Linked DNA regions of Notamacropus eugenii. The protein of the gene in region 2 interacts with the protein of the main gene of each other region in a pairwise test. Links are inferred from orthologs where the notes say so. Each region holds a gene or a part of one and is shown on either strand. Other genes may lie near its edges.

What was found.
Region 1: the proteins of LSM1 (region 2) and LSM4 interact in binary tests that used the Homo sapiens proteins (3 or more experiments, as listed by UniProt). The link is inferred for Notamacropus eugenii from reciprocal best matches to the Homo sapiens genes LSM1 and LSM4.

Annotation. Positions count from the first base shown.
Region 1 is NC_092875.1:67,413,610-67,417,429, forward strand, and holds the start of LSM4 (U6 snRNA-associated Sm-like protein LSm4), read left to right. Parts: upstream 1-1,258; 5' UTR 1,259-1,868; coding exon 1,869-1,871; intron 1,872-2,016; exon of another isoform or gene 2,017-3,390; intron 3,391-3,820. UniProt on the Homo sapiens protein: Plays a role in pre-mRNA splicing as component of the U4/U6-U5 tri-snRNP complex that is involved in spliceosome assembly, and as component of the precatalytic spliceosome (spliceosome B complex).
Region 2 is NC_092872.1:622,810,563-622,814,162, reverse strand, and holds the start of LSM1 (U6 snRNA-associated Sm-like protein LSm1), read right to left. Parts: upstream 2,702-3,600; 5' UTR 2,452-2,701; coding exon 2,220-2,451; intron 1-2,219. Other genes in the region: BAG4 (BAG family molecular chaperone regulator 4), read left to right, coding at 2,840-3,145. UniProt on the Homo sapiens protein: Plays a role in the degradation of histone mRNAs, the only eukaryotic mRNAs that are not polyadenylated. Probably also part of an LSm subunits-containing complex involved in the general process of mRNA degradation.

The DNA.
Region 1 (3,820 bases), on a different chromosome or scaffold from region 2:
TCTGTAAGTGGACTCAGGACTTTCTTAAGTTTATAATACAATCAAAGTTTAAACTGTTTTGAGACCCTTCACAATTTGGTGGCACCCTGCCTTTTTTAGCCTTAGCTCAACTGTATCCTGTGTTTCTGTCAAACTTAAGTACTCCTGATCTACTCCTCTCTCAAGTCCACATTATTTGCTCAGGATTTTTCCACCTGTGTGCTCATGTTATTCTGTTCCCTCTGTCTGAAATACCCTCCTCCCCATTGCTCCTCATAATTCGAGCCCCTCTTTAAAGCTCAATCCAAATGTTGCATCCTCCAAGTCATCCACAATCTCTTTGGTGGTTAATTTCCTCATACAGCATTATGCACTTTTCTCATGCACTTGTTACACAGTTACATTTATCATATAGTTACAGTTATTTGGACAACGAATTGAGCATCCGAAAGAAAATTACCTAGTCACACTTGCTCATTTGACAGATAAAGAAAATGAGCCACACAAAAACTCTGACTTGCCCGACAGCTATCAGAGGGCAGAGCAGAGATCCAACCTTAGGTGCTGATTCTAAATTTAGTGTTTTTTCCTCTTCCAAATATTTGTGTTAGAACAAGGGGCCATGTCCTAATTAGTCACTTAGCCTCTCTGGACCTCAGTTTCCTCGTCTGAAAAGGGATCTATAAGATCTCTTCCAACTTCCAGAGTCCAGGACAGTACTTCTCTACAGAAAAAGGTGGGATGCCAGTTCAAAAAGAAACCCCAACCATTACTAGTGTTTTAGGGTTTGCAAAGCACTTCACAAAATGCTCTGGTTTGAGCCTCACTCAAATTAAACTCCAGCAACCTTAGAGTCTCGGACCTGAAAAGATGCTGGGACAACATCTCTGTATCGGGTTCAACGCCAACCTGAAGCAGGATATTCCCCGCCGAGCATCTCCCTCCCTAACCTTCCAGGCTCTAAGGGCTGCGGATTATTGGGAGCTCTTCGTGCTGAGCTCCAAGCAGACCCTTTGCCCCCAGGGCGGGGTGGCACGGGGACGGGCAGGGCAAGTCTATTCACCGGGCTAAGACCATCCCCAGCTCTTTCAGCTCCTCCTGGGGTCTCCAGGGCTCTCGCCTTCCCCGTCACCGTCCGGCAGGTCCATGCCCCTACCCCCCACTAAACCCAGCGCTCCAGGTGTGGCCTGGCAGCAGGATCGTCGCCCGCCGTGCTTGGCACAGCCCACACCTCCCTCACCTGGCCTAGGGTTTCCATGGCGCCTCTGAGGCTTCTACCAAACATTTCCCTCACTACAACCCTGGGCGTCGGCGTGGGAAGCCCAAGGATTCCATTCCCCAGACTGGGTAAGGGACTCGAGGGTGGAGGGTCACGGCTGGCCGCCAGGCTTATGTAAGAGGGGGTGCTGAGGTCAGCGAGCAGGCCGAGCTGCCCTCTCAGAAGACGGGTGGAGGGGCTGTTTTCTTCACTCTCTGCCCTCAGACACTAAGGGCGTCTCACAGATCCGCCTGGCCGACCCGCCTGGCCTCCCGTTTCCTCTCGAGAAGCCGAAGCGCACGCAGCCAACGACCGTTACCCACAATTCCGCGGGGCGCCCGCGTCTTTTCAGCACCCTACAGATTACTGCTTTACGGCAGTTGCGCGCCCGAGGCGCGGGGTCACTCTCCACCTGTCGGAGCTCTCGGCCTCTTTTCCCCGCCCCTTCCGCCGTTCGGGATTGGGCAATCTGTCAAAGGATCGGGTAGTGACTGGCTGGCGGAGACGTCAGCCCGCCCTGTTCGGTGAGGGGCGGCCTGGAGGGAATTCTGAGTCTTCCGAGCTACTGCGGCGGCGGCGGAAGTGACCGGAACAGCCCCGGCCCTGTCCCCGCCCCGGCGCGGCCGGCACTATGGTGAGGGGAGATTGAGGGAGACGGCACGGGGCGGCGGGGACCCACTCTGAGACTCAGTCCCCGGCCCTGGCACGGGGAGGGACAGGGAGGGGGCTGGTCCTCTGTGAGCCCGAGCACAGGGGGTGGGGGGGTGGAGATCTCACGTGGGCCGGGGCGCGGCGAGACTCCCTGGCCTGCCTTCCTCTTCTCCTCTCCGTCTTCCGCTCTTCTTTTCATTCCCCTCCTTAATGCTTCCTTCATCTCTCTCCTCACTCCCCCCTTCTCCTCCTCATCCCCGCGCTCAGTTAACTCCAGTGACTTTCTATCACCGTCCCAGTCTTTTCCTGGCATTCAAAGCCTATCCCTGCCATGTAGTCTTCTTCCGGCGACACTGACCCCGCATCCTTTAGGTCCCAGCATTTTCTCCCACGTCCCTCATGCCTAGAAAGCCTTCCCTCTTCATCTGTGTCTACTGACTTCACGCAAGTCCCTTTCCCCACTCATCTTCATTTTAGTGCCTTCTTTCTGTTAATGATTTCCTACTTATCTTGTATGTATGTGCGTATTTGTTTATTCATCATCTCCCCCACTGCCCTGTGAGCTCCTTGAGGGCATGGACTGTCTTCTGCCTTTTTTGTCTCCCCAGACCTTAGTACAGTTCCTGGCACATATTTACCATTGGTAAATGGTTCTTGACTGACTGATCCCCCTCTTTTTTCCTCTTCTTCATCTCCACCCATCCTTCTTTTCATGCTCCTCCTCTTCTCCTTCATCCTCCCCTTATCCGGCTTTCTCATCTCCTTTATTTTTCCTCTCCCTCTGTCATACCTCCCCATTTTACTCATCCTCATCTCCCCAGCCCCCGCTTCTCATGTGATGTCTCATTCTCCCTTTTCCCTTCCTCATCTTGTCTTCACCATTTCATCTCACAGCCTCATCTCTCCTTTTCTCCTTCCATGTCTAATTCTTACCTCTACTCGTAATCTCAGCATCACTTTGCTTCACTTTTTCTCCTGCCCCATTTTCCTCATCCTATCGTCAACTACTTATAGGACCTGGGCAAGTCCCTTAGCCACCTGAGCCCTAGTTTCCTTCTCTGTAAAATTATGGGTTAGGTTAGATTGCCTCTGATATCCTTTAGATCCTATCATCTTTCTTTCTCTTCTTCACCTGTTTGTCCTACACCTCCTCTTTCCCCTATTCTCTTATCCCTCATTTTCATACCTTCATTTTCTTTTTCATCCCTTCGTCTTCCCTCCCTGTCCTGCCTTCATTCCATCTTCATTTCTTTCTTCATTTTCTATTCCCCTTATTTTCCTCTCCAATTTGTCTCTTTCCTCTGTCTTCCCACTATTACTTCATTTTTCTTCTTACCACTTTTATCTCTTCTCTTTCCCTGTCTTTTCTCTCATCTCTCCTCAACAGTTTAACTTCCCTCTCTTACCCACCCCAGTCTCTTCCTCCTTCCACTTTGGGTTGGGGGAGGAAGGTAGGATTTGGGAACTTGCATAATCCAGCAGTTTTTTGATTAAAAAAAAAGGTAGGGCTTCTTTACTTCTTCCTATTTGGACTTCTATAAGTTCCATCTTCCCTTCTTTCCCTGTTCTTCCTGTGCTGGGTCTCCCTTGAGTTACATAGCAGCAAACATGCACATTTGGCCATCATAGTACTCTTACAGAAAACCAACTGGGGAAGTAGACTTTGGCCCATTTTCGTGTGGAGCAGTAGCCCACGCTCACCTATGATCCTTTGGAGGAGGTTCCTCAGAGCTTTTTTCCCTTTTCTTTAGAAAAACCCTCAGATGTTTGTTCTAGTAACATACTAAAATTAGAAAGTCCATGGTCTTCCTTCTCAGACATCCCCAATGGTAGCCTTGAACCAGAGATTGTCAGAACTGAAAGGACTCTTAGATAATATCTTCTCCAGCCTTCTAATTTTATGGAGGAAGAAACTGAAGCTGGGTGCCCAGG
Region 2 (3,600 bases):
GCATATGAGAAAAGGTCAGTAGGTCAGTCTGGCTAGAACACGCTGCACATGATGGAGGTAACATTTATTAAGTCTGGAAAGAAAAGATGGAGCCAAATTGTGAAGAACTGAAAAGGCAGTCAGAAGCAATACTGAGCCACTGAAACTTCTTGAGCAGTGGACTAACAGAGTAAGATCTGTATTTTAGGAATATCAGTCTGGCAGCTATGTGGAGGATGGAGAGATCAGAGATAAAAGACTAATTAGATGGCTATAGTCTAGATGAAAGGTGATGTGAGCCTGAATCAGGGTGGTAATTGTGAGAGATGAGACAGAAGTAGAATTGATAAAGACTTGAAAATGAGGGAAAGTTAGGAGTTGAGGATGATTCAGTGGTTGAAAATTTAGGTCATGGGAAGGATAGTGGTGTCCTTGATAGAAATGGGAAGACAAGATAATGAGTTCAATTTTGGACATATTGAATTTGAGATGCCTAAGGGATATCCAGTTGGAAATGTCTAAGAGACAGCTGGTGATGCAGGATCGGAGCTCAAAAGAAAAACTAGGGATGTATATATAGATCTGTGAGACATCTGCATAGAGAACTGAATCCACTGAAAAGCTGATGAGAATACTAAAAGTCTATCTAGAGGGTCCAGGATATATTCTATCAGAGGGCAGGATATGGATGGTGATACAGCAAAACAGACAAAGTTGACAGGCAGGTAGGAGAACAAATAGAGAGCAGTGTCATGAAAACCAAAAGGAGGGAATGGTATGTCAAAAAGGATCAGGACTAGATTTGGCAATTAAGAGATCACTGGTATCTTTGTAGAGGACAGAATCGAAGGAGTAATGAGGTAGGAAGCTAAACTGCAAAGGGGTTAAAAAGTGAGGAAAAAAGGAGGCAAATAGCACAGACGGTTTTTTCCAGGAATTTGTCAGTGAAAGAGAAAATATGTATGTATAAAATAATAGTGTGAAGGGATTCTACCTCTATTTCTCTCATTTTACACAGCCACTACTTTGTGCAGACAGACTATCTGGATAGCCTAATTGGCCCAATTTGTTCTTTTTCCAATTATCCTCCAATATAGCTGCCAAATTGATATGCCAGAAGCATAGCTCTGAACATATTACACTCCACCCCTCAACAAAACATTTGAATGCCTCCCTAATGGCCTTTAGCATAAAATACAGACTCCTCAACTTGACATTTAAGGACCCCCATGATCTGGTTTTTAAGACATTTCCCGATACACTATTTTTTTTTCACGGACTCTATTCCATTCAAACTGGTCCTAAAGCTGTTTCTCTTACACAACATACTCCCTCCTGCCACTGTGCCTTTATATAAGAGATCACATAGTTCAAGTACCACCTCCTATTCCAGACCTTTCCTCCTCCTTCTCCCTCTTGAAATTGCTTTGCTGTCTCTAGGGTCTATTTGGGCTAAGATAAAATCTGGCACGTATACTTTATACTTAGGTGTATACACATCTCCTTGGTAGAATATGAACTCCAAAAGGGGTGTGTGTGTTTTTTTTATTTTGGTCTTCGTGTCCTCGGACCCTTGAACAGTGGCACTTAAATGTCTGCTGAATTGGGGTGGAGGGGTCGGGCAGGAAGATAACAAGTCTCTGCCACAGCTTCGAGAACGGTGGGCCTCACTTTCCTTGAACACTATCGGACGCCCTGTTTCAGGCACTTACTGCGTCCCCTCACTGTTGCACCCAATTTCTTGAGCTCTGGGACCACTCGCCTCCCCGCTGCCGGGCACGCACCTCGCTATTTCTTTTTATCAGCGAGGCCAACCTTTCCCCCGGACAGATCGTAATCCCATCCTCCAGGGGTTTAGTAAAGGGTCTTCCAGAGTTGCCATGGCCTAAAGACTTCCCCACCTGGGCCAAGCTTCTGGGGACAAAAGCCTCGCAAATCGCAGGCACTTAATGAATTTGTGGGGAGTACTCAGGTCGAAAAGCGGTGTCGGAGTCTCTGAATGACCTCCATTGCCTTCTTCAGACAAAAGGGCAAAAAAGAAACCCCGCGTGACTCCGGAACGCCTAACTCCCCCCCAGGCGATCTGCGGTCAGAGGGAGGCCTCGGCCGCTCGCGGACCGCAGCCCGAGGGCCGGGGCTACGGCCTGGAGACGCGTCCCGGCCTCGGCCCATGCCCTACCCGAGCCCGAGGGAGGAGGCGGACCGACGAGGGAAGGGGGACTGGCCCGGCGGCCACTCACTGTCAATGTCCTCGATGAGGCTGGCGGTACCGGGCATATAGTTCATCTTGAACCGGGAGGGGGAGGCTGGGCTGGGGCACGGTGGGGAGAGGAGGAGCGGAGCGGACCCGCCGCGTCCTACTTCTCCCTCCGCTTCAGCCTCCTCAGCGGGGCCGGTACCCGCAGGTCCACAGCCGCCAGCAGTCACTGAGGAGCTACCGGAAGTTCCCCCTACCCCGCCCACTTCCGGCATCACGTGGCTCCCATGCTCGGGGGCGGGTCGTACGGCGCAGGCCCCCGAGAAAGGAGAAGGGGGAGAGATGTGAGCGGGACCGCATTAGATAGTGGGGAACTCGTTTTTCCTCTTTAGGCTGAGGAAGAACGTGCGCCTTGCCCTTCTCAGTTCTCTAACTTCAATTCCTAAGGTTGGCCCGAACTAGCATAGACCCCCCCCCCCCCCTTCAGCCTCATTGGTCAGCGTGTGGACCATGAACGCTACTCCCGCGGAGGAGGAGCCAGGGCGGCGATTGGTTGCTTTGGCTCCGCCCCCTTTTCCCAGGCTTGTTCTTTGCCTTCAGCGGGCGCCTGCGCAGTGGGCTTGGGGTGGGGGGAGCGGGAAGTGCGGCGGCTTAGCGGAGCCAATGTCTACCCTGAGGAGATCAGGATATGGCCCCAGCGACGGCCCGGGCTACAGCCGCTACTACGGGGCTGGGCCCGGACCCGGACCCAGCATTGGAGACGTGCCCCCGCCTGGGCCTCCAGCCTCATCGCGGCCCGAGCCGCCTCCCCCTCCGCCTCCTGGCCCCTGGAGGATGCGCGGAGGCGGCCCGGCGGAGGCTGTGTGGCCCGGGGAAGGCAGCGGAGCCTGCGGAGCCTGCGGAGGTGGCGGGGGCTACTACCCCGGGGGAGCCGCCTGGCCAGACCCGTGCCGGGCCGGAGGCCACCAGGTAATCCCCGATCCGGCCAGCCCCTGGGGTCACTGGAGTCGTCCGTGCGCGGGGGGAGGGGGTTGATGTGGAGGGGGTCGCCGGGGGTGGTTGGTCCCTAGGGAGATGAGGCCCCGGGGGTCGCGTTGCAGAGGCCCGGGACGCCGGGGTGAGACCCTGTTGGAGGGCTTCTAACGGATCCCAGCTTCGTTAGTCTCCTATTTCTGGAGCATGGGAGGAGGGACAAGGTTTGTGGCCTGGGTGATGGTGTCTCACCGAGCAGCGATTGGGGGTAAAGCAAGCTGAAAAAGAAATCGTAAATCGTTTATTGCAGCCTTCCGCTCTGCACAAATGCCCAGGTTAACTGAGCTCGCCCAGGGGAGGCCTCCAAAGCCATTGGGAAGGGGGTCTGGAATGGACCCTAGGTTGCTCCCCCCCCCAGGCACAGGCCCTTTCCACCCTCTCCCCTCACCGCT